Danio rerio: one gene and its partners. The protein of the gene in region 6 binds, or shares a complex with, the protein of the main gene of each other region. Links are inferred from orthologs where the notes say so. Each region holds a gene or a part of one and is shown on either strand. Other genes may lie near its edges.

Region 1 (5,311 bases), on a different chromosome or scaffold from region 6:
ATAGACAGGTGTAGCCTGATCAGATCATGTCCATCAGCTGAATTGAGCACAGCTGAACTCCAATGAAGCTGCTGAGACATCTCAGGAATGACCAGTGGAGACAGAATGACTAAACTCAACTTGGAGCTTTACACCCAAAGGCTGTGAACACTGATGTACACCTGATTTATCAGCTTTTTGTTTTTAATAAATCTGCAACAATTTCTAAAACTCTTTCTTGACATGGTCATGATGGGGGATTGTGTGTAGAATGTTGAGGAAATCAATTAATTTAATGCGTTTAGTAATAAAGCTGTATCATACACATGTGGAGAGTGAAGCGCTGTCAGTTCTCTCAGGATGCTCTGTATATTCACTGCGAGTCCTTTATTATGCAGCATAGTGTTTCTACTAAACCCGGACTTCAGACACACCACTCACACAGATACTGTATTAAACCAGGGTCCCCGCGGGGTCTTAAAAAGTGTTAAAGTCTTAAATTAAAAAATCGAAATTAAGGGCTTTAAAAAGTGTTAAATTCGCTGTTCTGGGTCTTAAATATTTCTGCACTGGTCTTATTTTTGTGATGTCCATGTACCGCTACATCTAATGCTCATTTAAATTCTTGTTATTGTTGCTTGGTTTTTGGGGTGTTGTAGTTCTTCTGTATTTCACTAGTCCAATTGTAATTTGCGGTATTACAACTACAAAAAAGTCAGCTTGCAATAGCCAATCAGCTTTCTGTTATTAAACTCAGTGCGCGCGGTGAATGTGACGTCATCGCTGTGTTTGCGGTAGTTCGCTTTGAGTGTGCGTGATGATTTCGGCTGGCAGAGTGTGCCGTTATTTCACTGACAAATGTCGCAAGTGCAGTTTTATAAGTCGGGAGCGCTGTAATACGAGAGAGCGAATCTCTGCTCACGCACCGGTTTCCTTCATAGACAAAACTGCTCGCGAGCTCTCAAAACACCGGCTGCTCACGTGCGAATGATCTGCTCTCGCTCGGTCGCACTCCTCTCGTGCTTTTCCAGAGATGCTTCAGCGTACTGTAGTGTTAAGAATAGTGAACTGATAAATGAAATACAGTGCAGTTTTACTACAGTAAAGTGTGGTGAATTGTAGAATAATATACAATATATTGTAAAAAACTTAAGCACTGGGGAGTTTATTATACACTTACCATAGCAACTGTAGTATTACCACAACAGAGTAACTGAAGCACTTTACTGTACTTCACACAACACTGTACAGCAGACACGTGTGCACTTTATTTCAGTGATAAAATGGGACTGATAGTGGGATTTATTTGAAGAGTGAACAGTACAGTAGGCTATAATACATAATCAAGTCTTTACCTATTTTCTATCACAGCTACACTTCTGCTTGCCAGATTGACCAATAATTATTGGCTAGAAACTGCAACAGCCATGGGAAAGGAGGAAAGCTTTTGTAAAACTTTGGGAAAACTCTGAGGGATGAGTTTGTTAAAACAAAAAAGAGGCCTTCAAAAACATCTTCAGTGATGATGATGATGATCTTTTTACTCGTCTGATTTTACTGTCTGTTGTTTTGGAGTGCCCCCTGTCAAAAATATATCTCAATGGTGAACGTGTCGAGTATAAAAGTCTTAATCTGTTTTGTGAGTTGTGCGGCGCCAGGTGAAAGTATAAATCTGCATTTAGATGTTTGTTTTTCTGTAGTTCACTGGTGCATTTAACCTGACTTTACTACTGTTCAATCTAAATAACTTTATTTTACCCCTAATTTTGTGCTTCTACATTTTCTGTCGTGTGTTCTTGATATTGCGATATAGGTCTTAAATTTAATACTTAATGGTCTTAAAAAGATCGTAAAAGGTCTTAAATTTGACATCATGATATCTGCAGAGACGCTGTTAACATGCTATACAGTGCAGAAGTGTGTGATTCGGGACACAGCCAGAGCCTCACTCCTCCTCCGTGTGTGTGTGTGTGTGTGTGTGTGTGTGTGTGTGTGTGTGTGTGTGTGTGTGTGTGTGTGTGTGTGTGTGTGTGTGTGTGTGTGTGTGTGTGTGTGTGTGTGTGTGTGTGTGTGTGTGTGTTTTCCTCAGGTCTGATCATCCCGCAGAACTGTGTGTCTCCGCTGGTCAACATCCTGTCATCATCAGATCAGAGTCAGCAGCTGGCGGTGCAGCAGCAACATTTATGGCAGCAGCTGCACCCGCAGAGCCTCACACACACACCTCTCACGTAACACACACACACACACAGGACAGACCGACTGCGCTCAGGGTTTCCCACAGTCCCCCGGGGTCTGCTTCTCCTCCAGCATGCGGACAGACGCTCTGCATGGATCAGCTCCGCTTCAGGACGTGGCTCTGTCTCCTGGCCGTCTGAGAGCGTGTGGCGGGCCGGCTGGAGCCTCTCCAACTCTTGCTTTTTAATGGTTCTTGTTTTTGTGTTGTTGTGTGGAGGAGCGGCTCCCGGAGCTCGTCTGCTGTACATGTTGGACTCTTCTCTCTCCGTGTATATCTGACATGTGATGTTCTTCTGCTCTGCGTGTCCTTCATCTCTGCACGAGTTGCACTACTGACGGATCTGATGTACAGAGAATATAACTGACTGCAAGACCTCTACCTCTTGCATTTGACCAATAAATCTTGTGGATTACCTCGATTTGACGGCTGTGGTTCATGTGATGTGCTCCTCTGTTGTGTTCAGCTCAGTGGAGGAGAGGAGACGGCACGCCTGCTCACCTTTACATTCTGCAGTTCATCTGCAGTTATAAGTGAGAGTAAGTGAATCATGTGCATTTATACAGTTCATACACATGACGACAACACCACCAGTGTGCAGGACAACAGCGCCAGTGCTTCACCACACACCAGCTAGAGGTGGAGTGGAGAGACAGTGATGGAGCCAGTTCAGTGGATGGAGCTGATGGAGGGAGTTTGGCCAGGACACCGAGGTTACACCCCTACTCTTTACCAGAAGTGCCCTGAGGTTATTAATGAGCACAGATAGTCAGGAGCTTTGTTTTAGGTCTCATCTGTAAGACTGAAAACCACTGATAGCCCCACCCTAAATTACTGAAAGCTCTGCCCTAAATTACTGATAGCCCCACCCTAAATTACTGAAAGCTCTGCCCTAAATTACTGATAGCCCCACCCTAAATTACTGATAGCCCCTCCCTAAATTACTGATAGCCCCTCCCTAAATTACTGATAGCCCCTCTCTAAACTACTGATAGCCCCTCTCTAAATTACTGATAGCCCCTCCCTAAATTACTGATAGCCCCTCCCTAAATTACTGATAGCCCCTCCCTAAATTACTGATAGCCCCTCTCTAAATTACTGATAGCCCCTCCCTAAATTACTGATAGCCCCACCCTAAACTACTGATAGCCCCTCCCTAAATTACTGATAGCCCCGCCCTAAATTACTGATAGCCCCACCCTAAATTACTGATAGCTCAGCCCTAAATTACTGATAGCCCCACCCTAAATTACTGAAAGCTCCGCCCTAAATTACTGATAGCCCCACCCTAAATTACTGATAGCCCCTCTCTAAATTACTGATAGCCCCACCCTAAATTACTGATAGCTCCTCCCTAAATTACTGATAGCCCCTCTCTAAATTACTGATAGCCCCTCCCTAAATTACTGATAGCCCCACCCTAAACTACTGATAGCCCCTCCCTAAATTACTGATAGCCCCTCCCTAAATTACTGATAGCCCCACCCTAAACTACTGATAGCCCCTCCCTAAATTACTGATAGCCCCTCCCTAAATTACTGATAGCCCCTCCCTAAATTACTGATAGCCCCACCCTAAACTACTGATAGCCCACCGTAAATTACTGATAGCTCCACCCTAAATTAATGATTGCTCCGCCCTAAATTAATGATAGCCTCAACCTAAATCACTGATAGCTCCACCCTGAATTACTAATAGCCCCACCCTAAATTAATTATTGTCCCGCCCTAAATTATTGATTGCCTCACCATTAATTACTGATAGCCCCACCCTAAATGAATGATAGCCCCTCGCTAAATTGCTGATAGCCCCACCCTAAATTAATGATTGTCCCGCCTTAAATTACTGATAGCTCAACCCTAAATTGATGATTGCCCTGCCCTAAATTAATAATAGCCCCGCCCTAAATTACTGATAGCTCCACTCTAAATTAATGATAGCCCCGCCCTAAATTGTTGATAGCTCCGTCCCTAAATTAATGATTGCTCCGCCCTAAATTAATGATGGCCTCACCCTAAGTTACTGATAGCTCCACCCTAAATTAATGATTGCCCCGCCCTAAATTAATGATAGCCTCACCCTAATTTACTGATAGCTCCACCCTACATTAATGATTGCTCCGCCCTAAATTAATGATAGCCTCACCCTAAGTTACTGATAGCTCCACCCTAAATTAATGATTGCCCCGCCCTAAATTACTCATAGCTTTTCCTTGAACACAGACAGTTCAACTTTAAATTATTTCTAGCCCCGCCCTAAATTACTGAAACCTTTTCCATCCAGACACTGATGCGGCTGTGGCAAGGTAAAAAGTTGTAAGACACGATGTCGTCACGTGGAGGAGTTTATGCGTCTATAAATCACGTATTTCATATTTAGAGGGTGAAAAAACAATTCTGGCGTATTTGAAGAATTTTAAAGGGACAGTTCATCCATAACTGACAATGCACTCACCCGAGAGTGTGTTAAACTGTTATAGGCTTCACTTCTCTGTCAAACACTGAAGATGATATTTTGAAGAATGCTGGAAACCTGTAACCATTGACTACCATAGTGTCTGCTTTTCTATTATGGCAGTCAATGGTTACCGGTTTTCAACATTTTTTTTTTTTAACATCTTCAAACAGAATAGTCAGAGTCAAAAGTGAGTAAATATTGATTTTTGAGTGTACTGTCTCTTTAAAAATGTTACAAGCCTGTAACCATTGACTTCAATAGTGTGAAACAAATACAGTAGAAGTCAATGGTTACCCTTTTCCAGCGTTCTTCAAAACATCGTATTTGGTGTTCAGCAGAAGAAATAAAGGTGGTGTGAGAGTTAAAGGGTGAGTAAATGAAGACGCTATTGTCATGTGTGGGGGAACTGACCCTTTAGCTCATGGCTCTTAAACTGGATTCCTGCAGTTTTCCCCACTCCTAAAGCTGGTCAACCAATCGAGATGTTCAACACTACTAGAGACTGTTAAGCAGCTGTGTGGTGGAGATGGAGGTGGTTGGAGATGAACTATGCAGAGCTTGTTTGAGTTTGAGACGGCTGCTGTAGTTTCTTTAACACGAGTGTTCATGATCAGAACTCAAGCTTTCCCTCATTAACTGAAC
Region 2 (4,796 bases), on a different chromosome or scaffold from region 6:
CACCTGCTTATTGTTCCTCATGTTTTGTTGAAATCTAGTTTCGAGTGGCCTGGCCCTCCATTTATTCCTGAACTATCATTTTAATTGAGTTACCAATGGGATCTGAGACTCCTATGAATCAGGAAAAGAGGTGAACACCAGCTTACTGCCTTCTTAATTTGTATAATAAGTATTTGAATACAGCTGATGAAAGAATTACTCAAACCTGTGCATTAAATGTGCTGTTGACCAATGGCTGTCTGAATGAAACAACAATGAAAGACAATCCGAAGATAGTAAAACGCTAGACTGAACTGTAACCCTGCAATTTTCATGTTATTCTTTTATATTTATCATGTTTATTATTTTAGTGATATTATCCTTATTGTTTATGTATACTTAATTTTTTAAGGTTGAGAAATCAAAGACGTAAGACACGTTGTTAACACTGTGATGATAGCACGTCAAAGAATCCACTTCTCTCGTTTTTGTGTGGTTAACGAACCGTCATTGTCATACCTATATATATATGTCACTACAAATAAACATTTTCATAATGCTTTTTATCTATATTTTGCATGTACGTCGTGACTAAAGCCAAATAAAATGAATGAAAATCACCCATCTCCCTTTCTAAAACAAACACTTGTTCTCTGGAATTGAAATTCAGACAAAATGCTTGATTTTGTTTTTTATTTAAATACAGAATTGCAAAAATTGGGCTTAAAAAATGTCTATGCTAATCGCAGTAACACTACATGAGGTGTACGTCGGGGAGATGGCTATGCATAATGGAACAAAGGTCAATAAGAAAGACAGAAAGAGATGGTGTTGTAAATAGCTGGGCAGAGAGAGACAGAACAATGGGGAGATGAGTACCAGAGGGAGGATGTGTGTGTGTGTTGATGTTATGTGCGAGCACTTCGCTCTGTCTCCGCTAGACACTCCCTGACGAGAGCACGTGCGTGGATGATACCTGAGGAAAAACACAAACACATATTAAGCCACATTGAATAAAACCTCATGATAATAAAAACACTCTCAATTATTAATTTGAGCAATGTCAGGCCATTTGCTTTTATATTTTCATAACAAGTCTTAAATGCAGAAAATTTAACATTGCCATTAGATGGCAGTGCATGTCAAAATTATTCCGTAATATATAGCGACAGTAACACAATATATACCTTACAGCTTAACACTGTATTAAAAATGAGTGATAAACACCAGACTTCATTTATCTGGCGGTACAAAAGCTTAACAGAAATTCTAGGGCTTTTCACACACTTAGGAAATATTGAACACGCTTCACAATTTACCCAGGGTTAACAAATCCTGAGTAATAATGTACGCTTAAGCTGCGGTCACACATTGGACTTTCGTCCTCTTAGACTTCCATTCATACGCACGCGAATGCGTCAGATCAGAAACGCAGGGTCATGCGTCAAGTTTTACAGGTCGCTGCAATGCAAAGTTCAAAATTGGTGAACTCTGACCTGCAAAAGCACATCACTTGACTGCGTGGGACCAATCAAGAGTGAAAACATGACCTCTTTGAACAGGAATTGAAAACATGGACCAATCGCTTGCTTTTTTAAATGGCTAATCATCTTGTTTAATCCCGCCCCTTTTCGCATTGCCACACGACAGAATTTCGCACACACAAACTCTAGTGTGACCACAGCTTTACTCTTGACATTAAAACTAGTGTTAATGTACTTATTTAAATATTTGCTTAGTCAATGTTATTGATTGAAAAATGCAACTTGCTTAAATGTGATAGCATTGTGCATCCTCATGTTACATTGATCACTGATATACATTTTCCAGAATGGTTTTCAGACTGCAAAAATTCCAGAACTAACTGTAGGAGCTGGGACGACTAATCGGTGTCGTTTGATTCATGGATCAATTCTGAGATATTTGTAATATGTCGAAATTCTGTCTGGAAGCAATTCTGAGCTTAATTTTTAACAGCAGATGGTGCTTTAGGCCTGTAGGTCTTATAAATCTCCTTTTCCATCACTGTTAAACACCAAGCATGTATTTTCACTACCTGACACAAGTCTTGCTGCTTATCCAAGTTTTAGGAACAACAAATAGTAACTTGACTTCTGGTTGATCATTTGGTACCAGAAGTGGCTTATATGAAAGGCAAAGGCCTCTAGATTACACTTATTTTACCAAAATAAAATATGATCATGCCTTGATTTTTAATGATTTAATTAGGACAATAAGCTCTGACAAAAGTCTTGTCACTTAACAGAAATAATGTCCAGTATAGAATATAAAGTCATGGTGCAGTGGAAAAAGCCAGCAGCGAGCTCTCTGCAAATCTCACATGGTCGCCCACTAAAGCCAAGCAGTGCTACGCCCGGTCAGTAACTGGATGGGAGACCACATGGGAAAGCTAGGTTGCTGCCGGAAAAGGTGTTTGTAAGATCAGCAGGGGGCACTCAACCTGCAGTCTGTGTGGGTCCTAACGCCTCAGTATAGTGAAGGGGACTCTATACTGCAGCTGCTCAGTGAGCTCCGTCTTTCAGATTAGATGTTAAACTGAGGTCCTGATTCTCTGTGGTCATTAAAAGCATGTGGTCTGTCCACCATGGCCTCCTAAACATTCCCATATCATAATTGGCTTCATCACTCTGTCTCCTCTCCACCAATCAGCTGGTGTGTGGTCTGGTGCAATATGGCCGCGTCAGGTGGAAGCTGCACACGGGTCGTGGATGAGGAGATCCCCCACCGATGTGTAAAGCCAATTGAGAGTCTAGAAAAGTGCTATATAAATGTAAGAAATTAATATTATTATAAAGAATTAATATTGTGTATGTAATATTGTGACTCCCAAGAGCTTGGACGACTGCATCCCTACATCTCTGCAATGACTCAAATAACTTATTATTAAATCCATCTGGAATGGCAAAGAAAGTGTTCTTGCAGGACTCCCAGAGTTCATCAAGATTATTTGGATTCATATTCACTGCCTCCATCTTACCCCAGACATGATCAATAAAGTTCATATCTGGTGACTGGGCTGGCCAATCCTGGAGCACCTTGACCTTCTTTGCTTTCAGGAACTTTGATGTGGAGGTTGATGTATAAGGACTGCTATCCTGCTGAGGGATTTGCCCTCTTCTGTGGTTTAGTAATGTATCGGGCAGCACAAATGTCTTGATATCTCGCGCTATTGATGTTGTCATCCACTCTGCAGATCTCTCGCACGCCCCCATACTGAATATAACCTCAAACGTGATTTTTCCTTTATCAAACTAGACTGATTTCTGAGAGAATCGTGGGTCCAAGCGCGTTCCAATAGGTCATCTTTAGTATTTATAATGATTGGGGATGCAGTTCAAAACATGATTCATCTGAAAAAAAAGAAATCGATGTTCTGCCACTTTTCCAAAAGATCAACCAGAGATCAAGTTTTTTTACTCTTACAACTGGGATCGACGACAAAACTTTTGTCAGGTAGTGTATAAGGCTTGGCACAAAGCAGCATTAGGAACAATAAGTCAGAGTAAAATGCAAAAGCCTTTCTTAGAGCAGGCAAAAGCAACACTGCACGAACACAGAACTGAAAAACTGAGAACAACTCTCTCGACTGCCCTTAGGCTCACATTACTCCAGGGGGCTAAACGTCACTGACTGTTACAAATGTGCTGCATGCTGTACTGTGCTCAGAAGGCTTTGGAGTACCTCTCTTCAGTCTCTCCATGGCACTTTTGCTGCCGGCGTAGGTAGGCCGAATTTCACGGCTCATCTCCTCAATGACGGAGAGCAGCTCACTATAGGTAGATCCCTGGGACACTTTGACCGGCTACAAAAAACAAAACAAGACAGCCGTTGAGGAAGTCTGTGTGACACCCTATTTACAAAAAAAAGTGTAATACACACTACAAATCAAAAGTTTGTAATTATTCAAAAAGATTTATAATTTATGGCTCAATACTTTGAATTTTAGGGGAATTTAAAGCCATTCTGGCTATCTTTATCCAAATGTATGTTAAAATGTTAAATTATGGGTTGCACTTTCAGTTTAGGAAACTAATATTCAAACAAATATTTTAAATAATTATGTTGTTTTACAAATGATTCTATCAGGTCACACTGATGACTGAAATAACGATAATGAAAATTCTGCTTTGCCTCTAAAGAAATAAATGACATTTTGGAATTAGGACTTCCAAGCAATCAAGCAATTGCTGATAAGAGAAGAGTGCGACATAGCAGAAAAACAGTGGAGCTTTTATTATGCCACAGTCAACCTCTTCCTTTTTTCCCCCAAATTGTGATCATGTGAAGCAGCACAGCAGTTTTATCATACTAAATAAATTTTAGGCTTCTGTTATACTGCTGCTCTGATTAGTCTAATAAAATATGCGACATAAAACAAGGACCGTCATTTTCAGTTTTCTATAAAAGCAAAACATAAATCAAGGGTATATGTACAGTGGCCGAGAGAGCTCAATGTGCTGCAATTTAAGTAAACACGCGCAATTACAAAACTCGCAAGCAAATTTAGTAAAGATCCTTATCCATTTGACAGCTGTGCTGCGAATTCTCCCAACGCAAACATAAAAAAAAATAAATAAATAAAAAACGCACTGCTTTTTTAACACAAAAAAAATAATAAAACAGCTGCATTCTCACAACGCAAACAGTTTAAGAAAACGCACTGCATTTTTTACAACCCAAACAATTTACGAAAACGCACTGAATTCTCAAAACGTAAACAATTTACGAAAATGCACTGCATTGACACACTCAAACAATTTACAAAAACGCACTGCATTTTGTCACTCAGTTTACGA
Region 3 (5,239 bases), on a different chromosome or scaffold from region 6:
TCTCAATATTTTTGCTCATCCACTGAAAGTTCAAGCAAGCAAAACTTGGACATTTCAGAGCATTCAAGTGATGAGAAACTTCTTCAATTGACTTAGATTAAATTGTTTAATGATTCATGATATTGATTACTTTTGATAAATGTAAAACTTTCTGAAAAGTTTTGCTTGCCTGAACTTTCAGTGGATGAGCAAAAATACTGAGAGAAGAGATACTGAAAATAGATCACTTTTTGCTCTCAAATTGTTTTAGGAGTATGGAATGGGAATTTTAAAGTATAGCTCACCCAAAATGTTTTATTCTGTCATCGTTTACTCACCCATACACTTGTCAAACCTGTTTTTCTTTTTTGTATTTGTTGACTTCAAAAGGATGTTTTCCCTATTATAGAATTCAAAGATTGCAGGTTTCTAACATTTTTCTAAATATTCGTTTTGAAAAAAGAAACTCATAAAAGAATGGAACCACTTGAGAGTGAGTAAATATAGATTTTTTGGTCAACTATGCCTTAAACCCTTCAAAATAAATTCCACCATTTATACCAGTTCATCTGTATCATTAGCTTTTGGGATGGATATACTGCATGCATCCACATTGCACCTTTTCATAAATATAGCAGATATATCAAGAGCGCTTTAAAAAAAAATAAAAAATAAAAAACATATCAATTAGTGCTGCACAATACATCATTTTAGGAACGATATCGCAATGTGTGCATCCACAATAGTCACATCTCAAAGATATGCAATGTTGAGTTGACTTTGCAGTGTAATTTTTACATTTACATATACAAAACCATAATGTATGCACTGTTTATTTCACTTTAATCATTCTTTTGTTGCATTTATCTCTGCTTGTAGTTTGTTTATTGTATGTTCTGATTCAGTCGCCTACAGAATCATCCCAGTCAATCAAAATGAATACATTAGGTAACACTTTAGGGACCAATTCTCACTATTAACTACCAGTAGTTGCTTATTAGCATGCATGGTATTGAGATACTGGCTGCACATTAGTTCTTACAAAGCACATCTTCTGAATGATATTATTCTACCCAACACCTAAACTACCTTAATAACTATTAGTAAGGAGTTTATTAAAGCAAAAGTCAAAAGGGTTTGCAAAGAACAAGAACTGAACCTTAAAATAAAGTGGACCCTAATTCTTTTCAAGTATAACGAAGTAAATCACAATATATATTGCAATGTCAGATTTTTCCAATATCGTACAGCCCTAATCTGAATACCATATACTTGATTCACAAACACTAGTCACATCTATGCAGAGCACTAAGAATTATAACGCATTAGAACATATGTAAATTCACTCATAATGCTCCTGATAAAAGTTCATATTGTCTTCATGTTCAAGCAGCTCTCCTACATCAACAGCAAACTTTCTAGTCCAAATACTCTCATTAAACCAATAATTACACACCGGACACTGTAAGCACACATTCATTGCCTGAAAATCAACAGCAGAGATCCTAATGGATAATTGATACCAACAGAGAATCAGTTCCTGAGCCAAGCGCAATCAGGATAACCCGAAAACTGCGCAAAACTACTGACGTCGTTCAGTCACACACATGTTGTTTCAAACCTGTATGACTTTCTTTCTTCCACTGAACACAAAAGGAGATGTTAGGCACAATGACAGCCTCGGTAACCATTCGCTTTTCATTGTATGGAAGAAGCAATGAAAGCGAACAGTGACTGAGGCTGTCATTCTGCCTAACATCTCCTTTTGTGTTCCGTGGAACAGTGGGCACATTTTGGGGTTAACTAGGCTATTCCTTTAACTGTGTATCTGAGCTTCAGATAATTACACATAATTGTGAACAATTTTTATGTGTGACCCAAATTAGGGGTGGAAAAAAGCAGTGTGTTTTGACAAATTTGTAAAAACACATCCCAAATAAGTTTATTCTTTAACACCAAGCGTTATATAGTCTATATTTGGTATTTTTTCATACACCACAGCTTCTCACTGAGACGGACTTCAAGTATTAGCTTTACCTCTATATGCCAAAACTTTCTCTGTTCATATTACATAAAATATACTTTAAAATACTGAGGTAAAGTTGGTTTTATATTCGCACATTCATTCAGTGACATCTCCATACATTGTTTACCATGGTACTTTGAATATTCCGGCTGAAATCACACGTAGGCATGACTTTAAAACAACATTAGCACTATCTAATTGACTGTGAGCAATGTTGTACTTTGATAGTCTTTGGCTGCTAATATAATTTCACTATTTAGAATTTGCAATTAATATTTTTCTGAAATCATATTATTAAAGATAAAGTCTGAATGTAGAAATATTTTAAAAACTTTACATTAATTTTAAAGTCAACGGTTTGAACATCAACCATCATCTACCTTCAAAACAGTGTTTCTAACTACTGAGGTGACGTTTTTATATTTACATGAGGTTTTATATTTACATATTCAGTGGACTTGTGAGATGCTTCATATAGTGTTTCCCATGATACTTTAAATATCTGGTCTGAAATATGACTTCAAACAATATTAGCACTATTTATTGACTGGGAGCAATGTTGTACTTTGATAGTCAATAGCTGCTAATGTTTTGCCTATTTAGAAATTGCAAATACTGTTATGAATTTATATTTTTAAGGAGAAAGTCCGAAAGTGCAAATCTACAACCAACTTTAACTAAATTCTCCAAGCAGCCAGAGTCCCTAAAGTGAGGCGTGCTCCTCAAACTTTAACTTTAAAAGCTCAAACGCGTTTCTTCGGTGTAAATTTGAGAGTTGCCCGCTTGTTACTAACACTCAATGACACTTGCACACGCTACATCATGCTAACGGCAGTAAATGTTGCGCCAGTTTGTAGTAGCGTAAAACATTCTCGGGGTCCCGAAACGAGAGAGTGCCCCTCTTCATCTCGCATTCACCATCCTCATCCTCCTCTCTCACTGTAGTCCCACAGTACTTTAAAAAATAAAAGAGGAAGGACAAACCTAAAACTGCTAAGCCCTGTTGCGAAAAAGCATGAACGAGAGCGACACACATAAAAGGGGCACGACATTTTTTTCAGCCAACCATGATCTCTTACCTCCGACCCGGTACATGTTGGCTGCCATGACTCTGCCCCCGGTCCTGCCTGGCGTCTCCAGGTAGGGCTTTCTCTCTCTGCCGCCGCCGCTCAGTGCTGTGCGCTGGAAAATGGTGGATTGATCAATACGAAGCGGACCAGAGAAGGGATCTTAAAGAGACAGTGCACATATTTTGATGAAGCCGCGTTCCACGGGCCGGTGTGCGTGTTCGCGTTCGGATTCGCCCGCGTGTTTTGGAACACCTTCTCAACAAAGCGGGATCCTTCACTCCGGAGCAGAGCACAGAGTCGGGCCACGGAGCTGGAGCGCGCGCGAGAGGGAGGGGAAGGGGCTCTGTGTGGCAGCATCACTCGCCTTTCCCCGCCTACTTCCAATGGCTGAACCACTGCTGTACTACTTTGGACCCGCTAGAGGCGGAACGAAAGAAATAAACAACTGTTGCTTTTACAGGAGTTTGAAACAAAGATATAAACAAGTGATGGAACGCAGGAGCAAAAAAATAACTACATAATGTCTAATGAAACTGTGAGGCGAGCATCAGACATGTTGGACTTGCTTTCAGAGAACAAAGAGTCCATCTTTGATTTATTCAAGTGCTGATATTTTGTAATGCTGTAAGGTTGCTAGGGTAATGTGGTTGGTTGTGAGGGTGCGAGTAGAAAGTTGTTATATATTTGTAACTATAATGCACTTGTGGTGATAGGTGGTTCAGTGGTTAGCACTGTCGCCTCACAACAAGAAGGTTGCTAATTCGAGTCCCGGCTGGGTCAGTTGGCGTTTCTGTGTGGAGTTTGCCTCTCCGTGTTCGCTTGGGTTTCCTCTGGGTGCTCCGGTTTCCCCCACAGTTCTTGCGGTATAGGTAAATTGAATAAACGAAATTGGCTGTAGTATATGGTCTGATCCCAATTCTATTTTGTGCCCCTTAACAAAGACTTTTTATTTAAATTTTGTAGGGAGAAAATTAATGGGGAAATTTCTTCCAGAACCAGCAGTGTTGGCAATTGGGTTGGCCCTGATGCATTCTTTAGTGTTGCTGAATGGTTGCTTGTCGGCAGAGTCAAAAGAGCACCATCCAACATCTCTGATATGGCTATTTTCAGTTTTAAAGGGCACCTATTATACCCATTTTTCAAGATTTAAGATACATCTTTTGTATCTCCACAGTTATCTGTAAAGTTTCAGCTCAAAACACCCATCAGATTATTTATTATACCATTCAGATTATTGGGATTTTCTGCTCTGAACACTATGTAGCTGTTTTTGTTGCCTGTGCCTTTAATGCTAGTTCTCCCCGCCCACCATTCCCACATGCCTGTTAGAGTGTGCGTTAATCTCCACCTTGGCTGCGTCAGATAAACAGCACAGTGACTGACATGAAGAAAGCAGATCTCACGTAACGTTTGTAAGAAATACTACAGTAAGAACTTTTCCAATGATTATTTGATGCATTTGTTGTGAAGTTAATTCACACCTTTCTGCAATGATGAGTCAGATTTTTTAATCCTGGTTGCTTTGCGGATGTAGTGTCTTGATGATATGATTATACGCGTTACTACAGGGACATGTTACAGTTTTTCTCAGTCGCTTTGGTGCATTTCTCACAACACTATTTACATTTGCACAATAGTTAATGCAGTTCTCAAAACAATTAGTCATTTGTGCACATCATAGTAGCAGTTTCTCATTCCTTCCAACAAATGATGCTTTTGGACATGCATCAATTGCTTTCATACAACTCTCTATTTTTTTAACATTATCATTTGCTTATGTCATGTCGTTTAAAATTAACTAAACTTGTAAATGCTGAATAGTCATCCCATATAAAGCTAATAGTCCTCATTTCATTACTTGAGTGATTACATAAAAAAATGTTGAACAAGCTGTCAAAAATATGTCAAGCAAATTTAAAAAAAAATTAATCTTTATTTTCTTGAAAATGTCTTCTAAATTGAACAATTTCATGAATTATTTACAGACCTGTGTATGTTGTAGGCTCAGTTCCAATATGTCCTGCAATATAGTTTACAGTTGTGCCCAGCTTTAACCAAAGAAAGCTTATGCTTGTTGTAAATAAGGGTGTGTTTACTTTTGCACAATGCTGTGAACAAATTAGAATTGCAACGAGCAAATGCAGTAAACATGTGAAACATACAT
Region 4 (4,572 bases), on a different chromosome or scaffold from region 6:
GTAGCATAGTGTGAGGTTAGTGACGTGATTATATGAACGTGATGTAATAACGACAAAAATGGACCCATTAGAAATAAAAAAAAACGATAAATTATGATATGCACTTGAAGATACATCCTATAACTTAGGATATTCTGGACAAAGCCACAATAAGTGCTTTCTCTGCCATGATGTAACAGTAAATAAAGCAGTTGCCATGCCAATTTTCAATTATAAACAAAAGCTTGCAATGGTTGCCCCACCTCCGAGCTCTTCTAAATAGTCCACTGCATTTGAAGCTCACAGAAATGAGCTGCACTGCATGTGAAAGTTCTAAAAAACGCTGTCAAATAAGGCAAGACACAAACGTAACGTTCAAGCATGTCCGTCAAGCGTGTGTTTACATTGGAAAACAATAGGAAAGTAGCACGTTGCAAAGGAAAAACGCATTTTGTGTGAACGTCCCATAACAGCATCAGAATACATAAACTGAATGAAAGTAATCAAATGTGAACACACCCTGAAACGCATACCTGGTGTCTTTCGTAGCCACAAACACCACAGGATTGGGAGCATCGCCTTGACTGACTTTCTGCCTCTTGATGACGGACTGGTTGGCTGCTCTCATTCCCATTGCAAACGGTCTTCCGTTGGTGGAGAGCAAATGACCTCCAGCCTGTGGCCAATGAGGGTGCTTAGATCAATGTACGCTACTTTTTCTACCTCTGGGAAAGGCTAATGTACATTAGTAAGGGATACTCACATTGTCGAAGGGCCTTTTGCCCAGCAGGGCAGATGCGCTGCGAGGCTGGTTAACCTGGTTACGGTTGATCGGGGTTGGAGCACCTCGAGGGGCTTTGAGTTTCAAAGGAGCTTGAATGGCTAAAAAAGTAATAAATAAAACGAGTACATATTACTCTGAATACTCTGAATAAAATTGTGTAAAATAATAAATAAGAGTCAAATGATCAGTCTTGAGCCATACTTATTCACTTTTGAGTAGTTTTTTCCCCACCACGAAGCCAAGAGTATACTTTGCAGTTATTTAGGTGTGTGTTTACATTTACAGTTGCAACTCACTACATTCGCATCAGTGTTAATTTAATCAAAAGAAGTGGCTTGACAAACAAAAACAATCCCTCAGATTATACTAAAAATGAATATTGGTTAGTTTTTTTTTAGGACAAGTGTCATTGAACAGTAAGAAATCTCCACTGTGCTGAGCGAGAGCGCTTCTCTACTGAACAGCGCATCAGCGATGACGTAAGCGTGCCAGGGCTCGAATGTAAGGCGAGTGCGGGCCGCCAGGGGAGATGGGAATGGCGATAAGCGTGCTTTGGCCCAGTTCAAGGCAACTGTACATAGTTTGAGTACGCCCTTAATACCTTCACACCTTTGAATGCTGTATCCAAAGGCAGCATTTTAGAGCTTTTGGACACAGCCTTTAAATAAGATCTGTAATAATTCTTCTTGTTTTGATTCATCTCATCTATTTCAAAATGTCAAGCGAGTGGTCTGCTTCAGTGTTGAGACCAAGTAGACAAAGTATATGCATACCTGCTGCCAATGCACATTGTGTGTAGACACTTGCATATACATAAAAACTGACTGTACACTTTAGGCTTTAAAAGTCAGCTAATTTGATAAGATGTAAGCATGTCTCTATTATGAAATAATGCTGAAGCCATACCCAAATCTTTAACTATATTGATGAGGGATGGTCGAGGAATAGGCCGGTTTTTCACACCACTCTTTGCTGCTTTGGGAAGTCTTATCATACCTAAAAGAAAAGAAAGAGGCAGTCAGACACATCTTCATTCAACTGTATAAAACAGCATTTTTTTATTTATATATTGCATAAAAAGACTCACACTCAGCTTTGACAGCATTGGCGTTAATGGAAGCGTACGGGCGACGGGCTGCTCGACGAGACTGCAGGATGTCCTGGCACACACGACGGGCAATTCGAGTGAGTTTGGTGGTCTGCAGGATAAAGGTCTGCCTGTTTTTGGCCAGAAGTTTAGCTCGTCCCGCACTGCTGGTAAACGGGGACATTCCCTGCACCTCCTGACGGGTCATGTGACCACGCGGAGCTGCTTCCTATTGGACAGATATGATGTTCATTTAGCTATATACTCATTTTCTGGCTGTATATATTTTTAAAAGACGTAGGTGTTGACATACTGAGCTGGCTCTTGTGGCGCCCTCTAGTTGAGTTGGAGTCTTCAGACCACCGTATTTCTTCCAGTAAATCCAACAGGACGAACATAGTCGACACTGCATGTTAGGAGGACCCCATGCATACCACTGCTGAGACTGGGCAGCTGCAAGAACAACAGGCCATGATAACACATACAGTATAGTGCATGGGAATTACTCAGCTTGTATCTAAATACTGTTTGTGGATGTTTGCAGTGGCGAGTTGACTCACTGTGGCAGCTTTCACAACTGAGGCCTTTCTGGTAGCCGGTGGCACCGTTCATGCCAGGTTTATTTCCAGGTGCTGTGATCTGGTTGGGGTTGGGTTTGGTGCTGAAGGAGGGATGAACATTTTGATTGGTAAACAGAAGATAGACATGTACAAACCATTTGAGATTTTCAAGAGACCTCACAGCCGAAAGTTAATTGCAAGTATAAAATACACAAAGTAGGGGTGTTTGCATTAATTGATTAACTGTTAACCGAAGGAATGCATATTTTATCAATTAATGTATCAGTTAAATGGTTTAAAATATTCTTTTTTTTTAATTAGTATTTTTTAAGTTTTGCTGCATAAATGTACAACATGTATTTGTTAACCCGCCGGGCGGTAACAAGTGCAACTATAGACGTATTGTGCTAAATAAGCAAAATGAAAGGAGTGAAAATAAAGACATTGATGGTCACAGTTTGAAACAGACAAGTTGATGCCAAACCAGTGCTGATAACCCTTTTCCAGGATCTGCATTATAAACACCTCAGTGTCTTAGCAAAAGTAGAGAAAGAAGCCGCAAACTTTCTGAAATGTCCACTGTTGGCCACAAGTCGGAGCAACCCACAAACCAACATTTTTTTTCATTGGAAAAATTATTTACAGTTCTTATAAAAGATCCATTAAAAAAATAGCCAACATAACTTAATCTACGAATTAGGGTGCTTTCACACCTACACTTTTGTTTCGGAACGTATCTCGTTTGCCCAGTTAGCGCGGTTCGATTGGCATATGTGAACAGGGCAATCGCGCTCTGTTCCGCGCCAAAGTAATCGCTCCGAGATCGCTTGAGTGAGGTGGTCTCGGCTCGATTGAAACGAACCCTGGAGCGGTTCGATTGCAGTGAGAAAGCGATCCGATCCGAGCGCGCTTATATCACAGTGTTTTATGGATATGTAATAGGCTTACGGCTATATGAAGAGAGAATTATGAGTAGGGCGGGAAGTTTCGCGAGTCTCCGGATGCCCGCAAACGAGTGATGATCTCCCGGTAATCTCGCGTCTCTCTCCCAGTCCTCAAATAGGCATCGTCGCGCACCCTTCTCACCCCTCCCCACCGCATCTCTCCTCAGACACGTCACACGCGCGCACCCTGTCAATCACCACCAAACCACCACCTCTCCTGACAGCTGAGCGGGACGCTGCAAAATAAACCCTGACACTCTGACCAATGTGAGGAGAGTTTACTCGCACGTGACTTGTTTTAGCTCTTTTGGTCCGATTAGAAACTTTGCAATGTGAAAGCGAACCGCTCCAAGAGCAAAGAGCAACAATGTAACAATTTTAATCTCTGTTTCGGAACAACTGAATCGATTCACAGGTGTGAAAGCACCCTTAAACAAATCCAATGATTTAGGCTATTTGATTTTTGCATATTAATAGCTATGTAAAATATAAAATGTATATACAAATGAATGCAAACTATGTAATTATAAATGTATACTATATGTAGCCTTTAATTTAAAAAAAAAAAAAAAAAAAAGTCAATCTATGCACCTTGTTGTTTGTCTCGCAAAGAGTGCTATCAAACTGCGAGAGAGACAGAGCAAATGAAAGCACAGAAGCTCAAAGTTAAAATCAGATGCTCAAGACAATCTTTAAACCAATGACTTCTATAAAAAATGTTGACAGAGGTTTGCGATATAGAAATTATAGCGGAGCATTAATTAAATGCATATTTTCTATTGAGGGATCGATTTGACTCTGCTATTTTTATTTGAGGGAAGAAAAAAATATGATTGGGGGAAAAAAAAAACAAAACTTATGCCAGTTAAAAAGGATGAAGTCTGTGTTTTCGTTTTGTAATCTAAAATTGTCATTTAAGTGAAAAATAGTTAGGGCAGGATTATTTATTTTATTCTTTTTATTTAGTTTATTCAGAGTTTCTAAGCAGTTGGAAACACTGCAAGTGCGTGAAGATGTTTTGTTATTATGTATTATGCGATGCAGATGGGGACAATTCTATAATGGTTCAGTAATCGATCATAACCGGTTATTACGTACTAACGTCATTTATCTCCTACTTGCACAACTACTACTACTTAAAAGGTAGATAATTATGCACAGTTTAACTGCTTGTAAGTTTGCTGGAAAGTCTTTCATTGAAACTGAAGAAGGCACAGC
Region 5 (5,145 bases), on a different chromosome or scaffold from region 6:
AGCTTTAATCTGAATAAGACAATAACATGGTTAAGTTGTTAACATGAGTTGCTTTTTGAATGTCCCTGTTATGTTTTACATGTTAAAAGCACATAATTCGATTAATTTCGTTGGGCCACCACACTATCCACATTTCCTCTGGAGTTTTATTTTTAATTTGTTGACTTTAACTGCAATTTGGCACTTCACTTTCATTCAACAATATCTCATGTATGCCCCCTTAGACAAACGAAATATTGAATGCGAGTATGAACTGCTGCAAGAGTGTTGTTTTAATGAAATTTGATACCAGACACCTTATTGAGAAAAACACCTCTGCATTTCACGATGCAGGTGTCTGTAGTCCTTCACTGACTTGGTAGGTGCAAAGAATAATGTCAAACAGCCGTGTGTTTGTGTATAGACCAGGTGTGGGCAAACTTGATCCTGGAGGGCCAGTGTCCTGCATAGTTTAGCTCCAACCTTATTCAAATAGACCTCATCATAGAGTTCTAGTGATCTTGAAGACACTGATTGGTTTGTTCAGGTGTGTTTGACTAGTGTTGGAACAAAGCTCTGCAGGGACACCGGCCCTCGAGGATCAAGTTTGCCCATCCCTGGTATAGACTACTGTATCTTGACGCAAAATGCGGCGAAAATCCTACACAACAGTACCAGTTTGATTAAAATGTTTACATGTCTGTACTGCACTTCAATACTGCAACTAGATCGGCATGTGCCACATGTTGTAATTTGATTTCTGTTTAGTTCGATTATGACGTTAATTAGATTTTTTTATTGTGGTTTACATGGTAGACTCTTAATCAGAGTATTGTCTCAAATCAGATAATTGTTGTCCATGTAAACAATAACTGATGTTTAAATCCATCTCATTTGGCCACTTCAGTAAATTAGTAAAGTAGCCAAATGAGATGGATTTAAACATCCATTATTGTTTACATGGATAATAATAATCCATTTCGAGACAATACTCTGATTAAGAGTCTACCATGTAAACCACAATAAAAAAATAACAATCCAATTAATGTCATAATCGAACTAAACAGAAATCGAATTACAACATGTGCCACATGCCGATCTAGTTGCAGTATTGAAGTGCAGTACAGACATGTAAACATTTAAGAGAGTCTATGTTTGGATGTATGAATGAGCCATTTGTCATTTTTATATATAATATTGTGATATAAGCTTGTGGACCATATATTTAAGCATGAAAATAAGGAGTGAAGCAGGTTTTGTTTCTGCTTTTATAGCCAGAAAACTACATTAAACACCAGACATGCTTTCATGCACCAATTTCTGTTCATCTAAATGAATTAAATCGAATTGCACATCAGTTTACACAATCTAAAAACTATCATCAGATTCAAACATCAGTTTATTTGCTTTATACATTCTGATTGAAACATTTGCGACTGAAACTTGTGACATCATATCACACTTTAGAAAACAGCATGGAAGTAACACCAACAGATCTCATTATTGCTATTTTTGCCCTGTTGGCAACGACATACACATTCGTAAACCAGCAACATACATTTTTTGTGAAATTTTACTTTTTCCATCGATAAGTTCTCTACCTGATGCCATCATGGCAACTAAAGGCATGTATGTAAACTTAAACACCATGTATTTCAAGTCACAGCACTGTGCATATGCCTCGGACAATTTTGCACACTAAAGAATTTTTGGGTAAAGGATACATTCCTTACAGTTAGGCATAACTGATAACATTATCATTTCGATTGCAGGAATTCTTCTTGCACTTACATTACGGTAATGATGAAAATCCCTAGAAATGGCACATTTTATAATGCAATGTTTTTTTTTACTATTCTAAAACATTACCAATTGTGTTGTGTGACCTGACAAGACACTAAGACCTTCAGCTTGGCCTTTGACTGAGGCTAAGAAATGGTTTGTTTCTGGGATACATTTGTATATATAGCATTTGTCAAAAACAAGACGACGAGGTGAAGAATGTGCATTCATTAACAAACACTTCATTCATGCAAACAAGCATTTTCTCTTCATTGCCATTTAAATGACATTCTTACACATGTATCAACACATAACATCACACAAGGAGCATGTCATAAGGTAACCGCGCAAAGTATTCAATTATTACAAATGCTATTAGATTTGCAGTGAATTCATAGGAAGTTTGCTCGTCCAGCTGCAAAAGCATTTTCAATGGCACTGCATTATCGCCGCCATGAAACAATGTCAAATTCCGCGGCATGTAGCCGGCTAATTGCACAAACAAACGACGCGACGGTATTGTTAAATACACGCTGTTAATTACACGCGTGACAACAAATGCACATCAAAACAGTGCAAATTCTTAACGCTTCGGCAAATAAGTGGGCAGAAGTTGAATGTGGTTTCTCTAAGGAAATCGAGTGAGGGGTGTTAAATGCTAGCTCGCTTTGCTACCTTGCATGCCGAATGAGAACCCGTAACTAATGGATACGTGCCAAAAAATGAGACAAATGATCACAAAGAAAAACATCGGCGTCTAAAATTGCAATGGTTAAATAGCAAGCATATCTCGCTTTTAACCTATGTGGGTAAATCTAAGAGAAACGTGCTCTAAGTGCGCGTTTCCGATTGTTTTACATATAGTAGTGATTATTTGTTTATGATGTGGCTAGCTAGCAACATAGCCTGCTTGCTAAAATGCTAGTGCGGCTATGATAGTTTAAGAGGCCTGACCCAAATCAGAACCCAAAATATTCTGCATCCACGTTATCGTTTTCTTTTGCAAGGACACTGCACGTGTTAAAGAGTTTAAAAGTGAGCGGCCGGTTTCGGGAATTCGCTTGAAATGAGTCCCTGCCTTCCAGTCAGGTCTTACGGTGGTGCCTGTGTTTTGACTTGCGTTAATTCAGAATATAGACGGACATACCTCCGACCCGGTACATGTTGGCCGCCATTTCTGCCCTCCCGGAGTGTTAAAAAACCAAACCATAAACTAAAATAAAAACAAAATAAATATGTGAATCAAGAAGGCATCTACGTCCTGTGACCTGTTGGAAAGCAATCTGGCTTAAGAAGTTTTAAATAAGGGGGGTGGACCTCAGTAAGAATAGGAGATTTTTTTGCAGCCCCCCTCCCGAGATTCACAGTACAATACAGTAACTCACTCACGCGCTAGAAAAGGCTCGAGCGCAGCAGCTTCCTGATGATGAGATGAGAGGAGGAGAGAAAAGAGGAGGGAAGGAAGAAGGAGGGTGAATGAAGTCTACAGACTGCAACCTCAACACGACACTCATGACTGTTTTACCCACAGAATTCAATTAATCATGGTTTTGATGTGCATTTAAATCATTTAAAATAACGTTTTCATATTTTGCCAGTTTTTTTGTTATGACAATAAGTGTCTTTTAAAAGCTGTCAATTGTGGAAAACAAGATTGATATACTTGATTCACTGTTTAATTTAGTTTTGAACATATCACAACCCGATGCACAATGTTTTAGCAACCTATTTATATGAGTGGCAAAACCCAGTTAACACCAATAATAAATGCTGACACTTTGTTTGGTTTTATTAGCATGCTACTTTATCTGTCTGTGTCTGTTGTTCTTAAAAAATACTTTTATTGAGGTTTTAATAGTTTAAACAATATATTGTATATGAAATAATAATATATTTAACAACCGAAAAAGTACTTGCCTTTCAATCTGCTGTGAATTTATTATTATTATTTATTTTTTCTTTTATTTACCTCATTAAGGTGGCACAGTGGCTCAGTGGTTAACACTATCGCCTCACAACTAGAGGGTTGCTGATTCAAGTCCTGGCTGTGTCAGTTGGCATTTCTGGGTGGAGTCTGCATGCTCTCCCTGTGTTTGTGTGGGTTTCCTCCAGGTGCTCCGGTTTCCCCCACAGTCCAGAGCAAAGGTGTAGATTTGGCCTGGATGGAGGGCATATGTCCCCACCAATATCTATCAATTACTGAACTATCCCCACCAATAATTGAATCACCTTCAAAATAAAATAATGCTCCATCAACCCTTGTTAACCTAGATATGCAGAAATGGTTAGTGACATTCTCTTCCTGGGTCCTCCCTCCCACAAACACATAAGGACAGTGTGATTGGCTGGGCCTATTTATGCTGTTATTGACAGCTTTAATTAAAAATCAAATAGTCCTCATTAATTAGTCACTTTTGGTAAAATCATGAATGAATAAACATAATGAAACTGCCTTTCCAGTACAGGGGTTCATGAATTAGTGTACTCTCGGGGTTGGGTTGCGGGTATGAAGGGCATCCAAATCATATGCCAGACTAATTGGTGGTTTCTTCCGCGGTGGCAACCCCTGATAAAACAGGAACTAAGCTTAAAGAAGATGAGCGAGGGAGCAAGTAACAGCCACCAAAGACCAACCATTAAGAAAAGTCAACACATAGCCTTGCATTGACTCACTCACTATCCTTCATTTATTAGTGGTCGCCACAGCAGATTGAACCGGCAATTACTCTGGCATATGTTTTATGCAGCCCTTCCAGCTGCAACCCAGTGAGGAGAAAGACCCATACACTCTCTCATTCACACACACATTCTTTCACTGTGTGTGATTTATTTATAAAATAATTTCGAGAGGATCTTGTGCTTATGATCAACACGGCTGGCACCTCATTAGCTCTGTAATCTGCTCTATTAGATGATTACGGAAGCATTATAAATAACCAAAGTTTTTCACTCCAGTTATATTCGTCTTGGAGCCCCCCCCCCCCTTCCACCCCTACTTTCCACCCTTTTTTTCCATAGGGCGACACGGTGGCCCAGTGGCCAGCACTGTTGCCTCACAGCAAGAACACAGCTGGTCCAACCTCCTATCGGGCTTGTAGGCTTTTCTGTGCGGAGTTTCTATGTTCTCCCCGTTTTCTTATGGGTTTTCCCTGGGTTCCTCAGTTTCCTCCCACCATCCAAAAGCATACACCATAGCCAATCGACTAAACCAAATTAACCCAAGACAACCTTAGTTTACACTTCTCACACGGCTACAAGCAGGGGAGATCTCGAGACCTACCTGAGCTTTAACTCCCCTCTAGCCCTTCTAACGGGAGGGAGCCCTGGGCTCGAGGATATTACGAGCTCAGGGCTCTCTCCTGGGACAGCATGTCAATTACGTTC
Region 6 (5,336 bases):
TACTGAACAAATTACAGTATGTACATTAAAAAAAAGATCATAATCATATGATAATGAAAATGTGTGTAAATGGAGGCTGAGAACACTGTAACACGTCTTAAATATTGTTTTAGTCATTCTAAAATGCCTTTACTGTTTCAGTATTAGTGTATATTATTAATTACCTCCGAACGTTTGGTGCGTGTCAAGAGTCTCCGCGTCTCATGGCTTCAGACGCCCCCACGTGTTCATTGTGTTTCAGCATTGTCTTCTGACATCGAGGCACAAGTACATTAATTAGGCTAAATAAAGAATTAATTGACGCAGCTTCTTCTACCACAGTAAATTCTGTTTTTACTGTTGATATTTGGTGCCAGTTAAATCAGGAAGTGACAATTTTTTTCTCTTTGACTCGTTGGATGGAATTTTATTCGCATCTTTTATGCAATATTCCAGTTTTGCACATAAATTTATGTAATATATTTGGATGGAAACATAGCTATTGCCTACATTTTAGTCACACACAGAAGAACTGTACTAGAATGGCTTATGCTTTTTTAATAAATAATTAAATTGAATTCACCTTCGATATGCACTGTAACTAGATTAATGGGATTATTATTCTTTCTAAAAATTATTTTTAGTACTGCTTACCTTCTAAATGTTATATTAACCTCTATCACTTGATCAATAAAAAAGACAGACACACAAGTGCACTGTTAAATCATTTAAAACTAATAAATGTATAAAAGAAAGTTTAGAAAAAAATATATAAACTTCACAAATTACATTACTTATTTTATTATACTTAAATATTTAAATACCTAAAAAGTTAAATTAGGCATTATCTTGAGCAGCTGTTTTCCCACGCTAACTGGTTGATGGCTGCTTCTTTTCAAATATATACACTCATATTTGCTATAACTTTGCATGAGAACATCAAGTTCAGCTGGAGAAAGAAATGCTGATCTCTTTTATAAGATATTGCCATAGTCACTCGTAATGTCTGCGCTCCACTGATAATGCCTTTTTATAGTCACGGTGTGCGCGCTTAACTCTGAGTTGGTCTACTCGAAGTTGATTGACCCAACTCAGATCAGCTGTTCTGAAACCGAAAACTCAGAGTTTTTAATATCTCGGTAAATCAACTCAGAGTTCAAGTTTAAACTCTGAGTTGTTTGAACCTCCTTACTGAAACAGGCCCCTGGTCTATCTTCCCTGCGTCTGTGTGGCTGCTGTAGTGCATGTAATCAAACTCCTCTTTTCATGCAAACCTTTTCCTCTTTCGCCACTCCCACCTAAACAAAGCTGGACTCACCCACTTTGCTGACGTTTTTAAACTAGAGGTGTGAAAATACCCTGCTAAAACAGAGGGGGTTTCATGGCCCTTTAACAATGAAAACAGCTGCAGTGAAAACTCAGCGATACATTTTTGATCAATAGATAATTGAAAAGAACAGTAATTATATCTGAATAATGCTGAAACTATGTCACTGTTCAATCAAACGTGTCCTTGTGTATGTTGTGTTTGCGTGTCACCTCTCTGATGACTTTCTGTCGTTTGCTAGTCCTGCTTTCACGACTCTTCTTTGCTTTCTTCTTCTTTTTGGATTTGGGAGTATCTGTTTCTGATATTTGTTCTTCGATATCTGTTCAAAACACAGACGTGAATGAATCATACATGAAAAATTAAAAGCTGCACAATCCTCTTTCTTTTGATTGCATGTCTGTCCTATCCTTCCCAAGCAGAGAATATTATATTATGCATAAGACTGGAATATGTGAAATCCTAATTATTTTCTTAAGGACTAAGAACTAAATGCAATTAATGACTTTAATAGATGAACTTCTAGCCATTACAACAGTTTAGTCTTCAGAATACATCACTTTCATGCCTTCCTGCCTTAAGATGTACCCAACTGTCCAAATATGTTAGCAGCTGTGAAACTAGGGCATAAGGCTCTTGCTTTTGAAATCATTCATTTATTATAAGCTCTCTGCTGATAGGCTGCAATACCAGCGCCATTACTGAGGGCAGCCAGGAGAGGAAAAGCAAAACAAATGGGTTCGACACACTATGCTAAACAATATTCCGCGCGGTGTGATTGCTAAGGTACAAAATCAAGCTAGTTTCGCTTTTAATAAGTTAAGTACAGTATCAAATAGGTTTCTCTTCGTTTAAATGTGCTGGTTGTAATACAAGCCAGTGAATCAGGAAGTGACTTCTGCATGCTGATGCTCCTTCATAAACTAAAGATTGTACTTAATAGGTACTGCGATGCGGTAACACGTGGCTTGGAGGCTCAAACAAACAAAACATACAAACATTCAATCCGCCATACTCTTCCTCACAGAAACGGCCATTTGTCCAGATCTACGTTGACAAGTCAGCAGTTCATTTGCATGTTTGGGCTCATTTTGGGAAGGTTATATAACATGATGTGGTTAATGAGGGTCCGGACTCTGTTCTGGACAGCCTTACCGTCTCCCATGGGTTCAAAGCGGTCCCGGTCGTCTTCACTCCCCGACATTTTCCCGTTTGGACGCTGAATAAAACAGAAATGACCACAGTATTTTGTAATGGGCTTTAGCAGCACCCCATGTTAACACCGAGAGAAACAAGTGACACGGGAGGCTAACTGTGTTTAGATTAAATGAAATCAATTAAACATGTTGGCATGTCATCATCACACGGCGTGCAGTGTTAAAAAGAGTTTGACGTAGTCGTATAATTTCGGCTTTTTTCGTAAACTTTCTCGTTCGGTCCGAGCAAAGGAAGCCTCAACTTAGCTGTCAATCAAGTTAGCAAAGCTAGCAAACAGAGTCAAGTGATCCGGCTGCAGGGAAAATGGCAGCCGGCTGGATGAGTTGAGTTAAAGCGCTTATCTGCTGTCGTTTCTGGTTATATTCGTCAACCTAAAACTTTCCTCCATGAGAATACCACGCGGAGGTGGCGAAGCCCCCGACAAACACCATATGGCGCGTTATGACGCGAGGTATAGCAGTTGTAAGTAACAGTTACCAGTAATATTACGTTTGTATGTTTGTTTTCTGTTTTAAGCTACATTAAGAAAAAACTCAACAAAAACATACATTTGTATATCTACGTTATATCGTTAACGCGGGCGGTTGGAAGTGGGTGGGAGGAATTGACTTACAGGTCAGTCCAAGGTGTAGATGGTCGGCGCTACGATCAGCTTTTATTCTGACGCGAAATCTGCAGGTTACTACCTACCACTACAAAAATAAAAAAACAAGCTCCGAAAAGGTGTAAATCTTTGGGAGACGTCGTCCACTCTTCTCCCCTTTCCCCAGCGTCAGTGACCAGAAGCGAACATCCTCGTACACACAAAGAAATCAGGGGGGGTAGAGACATCCCATAATAATCCCAGGCACACTGCCCCCTCCCTACAACACTCACTCAACTCTGCATAGTTACCTCGCAACCTACAGACCATAATACTCATCTCCCCCTCACACACAGTAGCAAGTATACACTGCCTTCCCCTTTCTTAGTCCCTGCCCCCTTAGCAACCGCGTTGCTATGGAGACACTGCCCCCTCCCGCCCTCTCTGCCATCCCATAATACTAATAAGCAGGCCGCTCTGACATCCCATAATAAACACAACTCCTAAAAGAGAGGGAAGAAAAAAAACAACACCAGTCACATGGTCTCCAGGGAAACCCCAGGCCGCTGGCGACAGCCCATAATAATCTGCGGCTGTCTGTCCACCTGGCTGGGTTTTTGGTGCACGAGTGACAAAAAACCCATATGAGCACCTGGTTAGAAGTCAGGCTAACAAGTAGTGCGCTTCGGGTATCTGTCAAATGCCACACACTCACAAGAGCCGCAGTTCCCAGTTTCAGAGGTGATGAAATGTCATCAGCGCTTCTTTTAATCGCATATCAGGCCCGGAGATTGATGAGTCTAGGGGAAACGGTGAAATAAACACTAACTTTTGTGAACTGCGTGTGCTGTGACAATCTCAAAAAGAAGCCCGGGACATGCTTAGAGAGTCTGAACTCCGGTGACTTCAGCTGCTTGGGCTTACAACAGGTCGAGGAGACTTCTCAAGAGAGGAAAATGCAGAAGTTACATTCTCATCCGTACACATTTAGATTTGGCCAAGATTATCTATTTAAAGCAGGAGGCAAACCTAGCAGTCAGTTCTATTTATATGCATACGCCATGTCTTATTATAGGAACTTGCCATTCATAAAGACAGATGTGTCACTGCGTTTCCCATATTTACTCAAATGTCATAGAACTGACCCTAATGCTGAAACACAGCCAGCTGACAGCAGAGCAACTAGTTACATACGCCATCAGATTAAAAGGTTAGTTCGCCCAAAAATGACAATTCCAATCGCCTGAGACCTTTGTTCATCTTCAGAACTTAAATGAGGATATTTTCAATTAATTCCGAGAGCACTCCCATCCTTCATAGACAGCAATGGTCCGCAGACATTCAAAGTCCGGAACAAACCCTGTCAAACCCTTATATGTGACTTCAGTGGTTCATCTGTAATCATCCCAAGCTCCGAGAACACTTTTGTTTTCCAAAAAAGCTTTAAGAATGACTGTTCACCTATATCTTCTCATCCATGTCAGGCTGAAAGGGTGTGTCTTTACTGCAGGCAGTGCGTAGTACTGCCATAGGGTATATGCAGAGCTAGTGTTTCTTCCCATACTGATAAACCCTTCGGTGAACAGTTAATGTGACTTTTTACATTTTACACGGTTCCTTTTACAGCATCGATGTTGTAATGTAATTAAAATACAATCCGTTAAATAGACTTTGGCTTTCATTTAGTTGCTCAAGCGTAAAACAAGTTGAAAAGCTGTTTACATGCACACGCCCGTCAGTATTAGTAGAACTCCATTGAATATACTGGGCTAAAATAAATGTTCATATTTTAAAGACATGGCGGGGGAAAATGTAATTCAATGCAGTAGTTCTTGTATAATCTGAGACCCACTTTATATCGGATATCACTCAGCCAGTGGAGATTGCTGACTTTCAAAGAAATCAGACCTTAAACGCGCCAATTTTGTAATAGTATACAGTTCACCGGAAGTGCTTGACCCAGATTACTGACAAATTAAAAGTCCTTCTGCATGCTTCTGCATATACGCCATTAGAGTCAACAGAGCAACAATTACAAATGCCAGAGCGGCCAATTACATACAATTAAAATACTACCCATCTGTGCACGCCCTTGATAATGTTTACCAACTCCTATTCTATAAAAGCACAAAAGCCATAAAGGTAATAATGAGAGGTGACAAATTAAAAGCTTTAATTTTTTATTTATTATTATAATAAAATTATAATCCACGCTGGAAGCCCATCTTG

Evidence for each region.
Region 1: chd4b (region 6) and cdk2ap1 share a complex: the UniProt entries of both Homo sapiens proteins name them as parts of the nucleosome remodeling and deacetylase (NuRD) repressor complex. The link is inferred for Danio rerio from reciprocal best matches to the Homo sapiens genes CHD4 and CDK2AP1.
Region 2: chd4b (region 6) and cdk2ap2 share a complex: the UniProt entries of both Homo sapiens proteins name them as parts of the nucleosome remodeling and deacetylase (NuRD) repressor complex. The link is inferred for Danio rerio from reciprocal best matches to the Homo sapiens genes CHD4 and CDK2AP2.
Region 3: chd4b (region 6) and mta1 share a complex: the UniProt entries of both Homo sapiens proteins name them as parts of the nucleosome remodeling and deacetylase (NuRD) repressor complex. The link is inferred for Danio rerio from reciprocal best matches to the Homo sapiens genes CHD4 and MTA1.
Region 4: chd4b (region 6) and mta2 share a complex: the UniProt entries of both Homo sapiens proteins name them as parts of the nucleosome remodeling and deacetylase (NuRD) repressor complex. The link is inferred for Danio rerio from reciprocal best matches to the Homo sapiens genes CHD4 and MTA2.
Region 5: chd4b (region 6) and mta3 share a complex: the UniProt entries of both Homo sapiens proteins name them as parts of the nucleosome remodeling and deacetylase (NuRD) repressor complex. The link is inferred for Danio rerio from reciprocal best matches to the Homo sapiens genes CHD4 and MTA3.

Annotation. Positions count from the first base shown.
Region 1 is NC_133185.1:50,698,674-50,703,984, forward strand, and holds the start of cdk2ap1 (cyclin-dependent kinase 2-associated protein 1), read left to right. Parts: upstream 1-2,248; 5' UTR 2,249-2,925; intron 2,926-5,311. Other genes in the region: sbno1 (protein strawberry notch homolog 1), read left to right, coding at 2,069-2,211. UniProt on the Homo sapiens protein: Inhibitor of cyclin-dependent kinase CDK2. Also acts as a component of the histone deacetylase NuRD complex which participates in the remodeling of chromatin.
Region 2 is NC_133176.1:43,109,568-43,114,363, forward strand, and holds the end of cdk2ap2 (cyclin-dependent kinase 2-associated protein 2), read right to left. Parts: intron 3,803-4,796; coding exon 3,682-3,802; intron 956-3,681; coding exon 888-955; 3' UTR 659-887; downstream 1-658. UniProt on the Homo sapiens protein: Acts as a component of the histone deacetylase NuRD complex which participates in the remodeling of chromatin.
Region 3 is NC_133192.1:39,376,381-39,381,619, reverse strand, and holds the start of mta1 (metastasis-associated protein MTA1), read right to left. Parts: upstream 3,404-5,239; 5' UTR 3,113-3,403; coding exon 3,085-3,112; intron 1-3,084. UniProt on the Homo sapiens protein: Transcriptional coregulator which can act as both a transcriptional corepressor and coactivator. Acts as a component of the histone deacetylase NuRD complex which participates in the remodeling of chromatin.
Region 4 is NC_133182.1:17,904,738-17,909,309, reverse strand, and holds part of mta2 (metastasis-associated protein MTA2), read right to left. Parts: intron 2,512-4,572; coding exon 2,411-2,511; intron 2,304-2,410; coding exon 2,164-2,303; intron 2,080-2,163; coding exon 1,851-2,079; intron 1,760-1,850; coding exon 1,670-1,759; intron 862-1,669; coding exon 743-861; intron 656-742; coding exon 513-655; coding exon of another isoform or gene 499-512; intron 1-498. UniProt on the Homo sapiens protein: May function as a transcriptional coregulator. Acts as a component of the histone deacetylase NuRD complex which participates in the remodeling of chromatin.
Region 5 is NC_133187.1:27,003,409-27,008,553, reverse strand, and holds the start of mta3 (metastasis-associated protein MTA3), read right to left. Parts: upstream 3,140-5,145; 5' UTR 3,079-3,139; exon of another isoform or gene 2,975-3,078; 5' UTR 2,937-2,974; coding exon 2,909-2,936; intron 1-2,908. UniProt on the Homo sapiens protein: Acts as a component of the histone deacetylase NuRD complex which participates in the remodeling of chromatin.
Region 6 is NC_133191.1:34,980,704-34,986,039, forward strand, and holds the start of chd4b (chromodomain-helicase-DNA-binding protein 4), read right to left. Parts: upstream 3,330-5,336; 5' UTR 3,138-3,329; intron 2,526-3,137; 5' UTR 2,511-2,525; coding exon 2,462-2,510; intron 1,629-2,461; coding exon 1,519-1,628; intron 1-1,518. UniProt on the Homo sapiens protein: ATP-dependent chromatin-remodeling factor that binds and distorts nucleosomal DNA. Acts as a component of the histone deacetylase NuRD complex which participates in the remodeling of chromatin.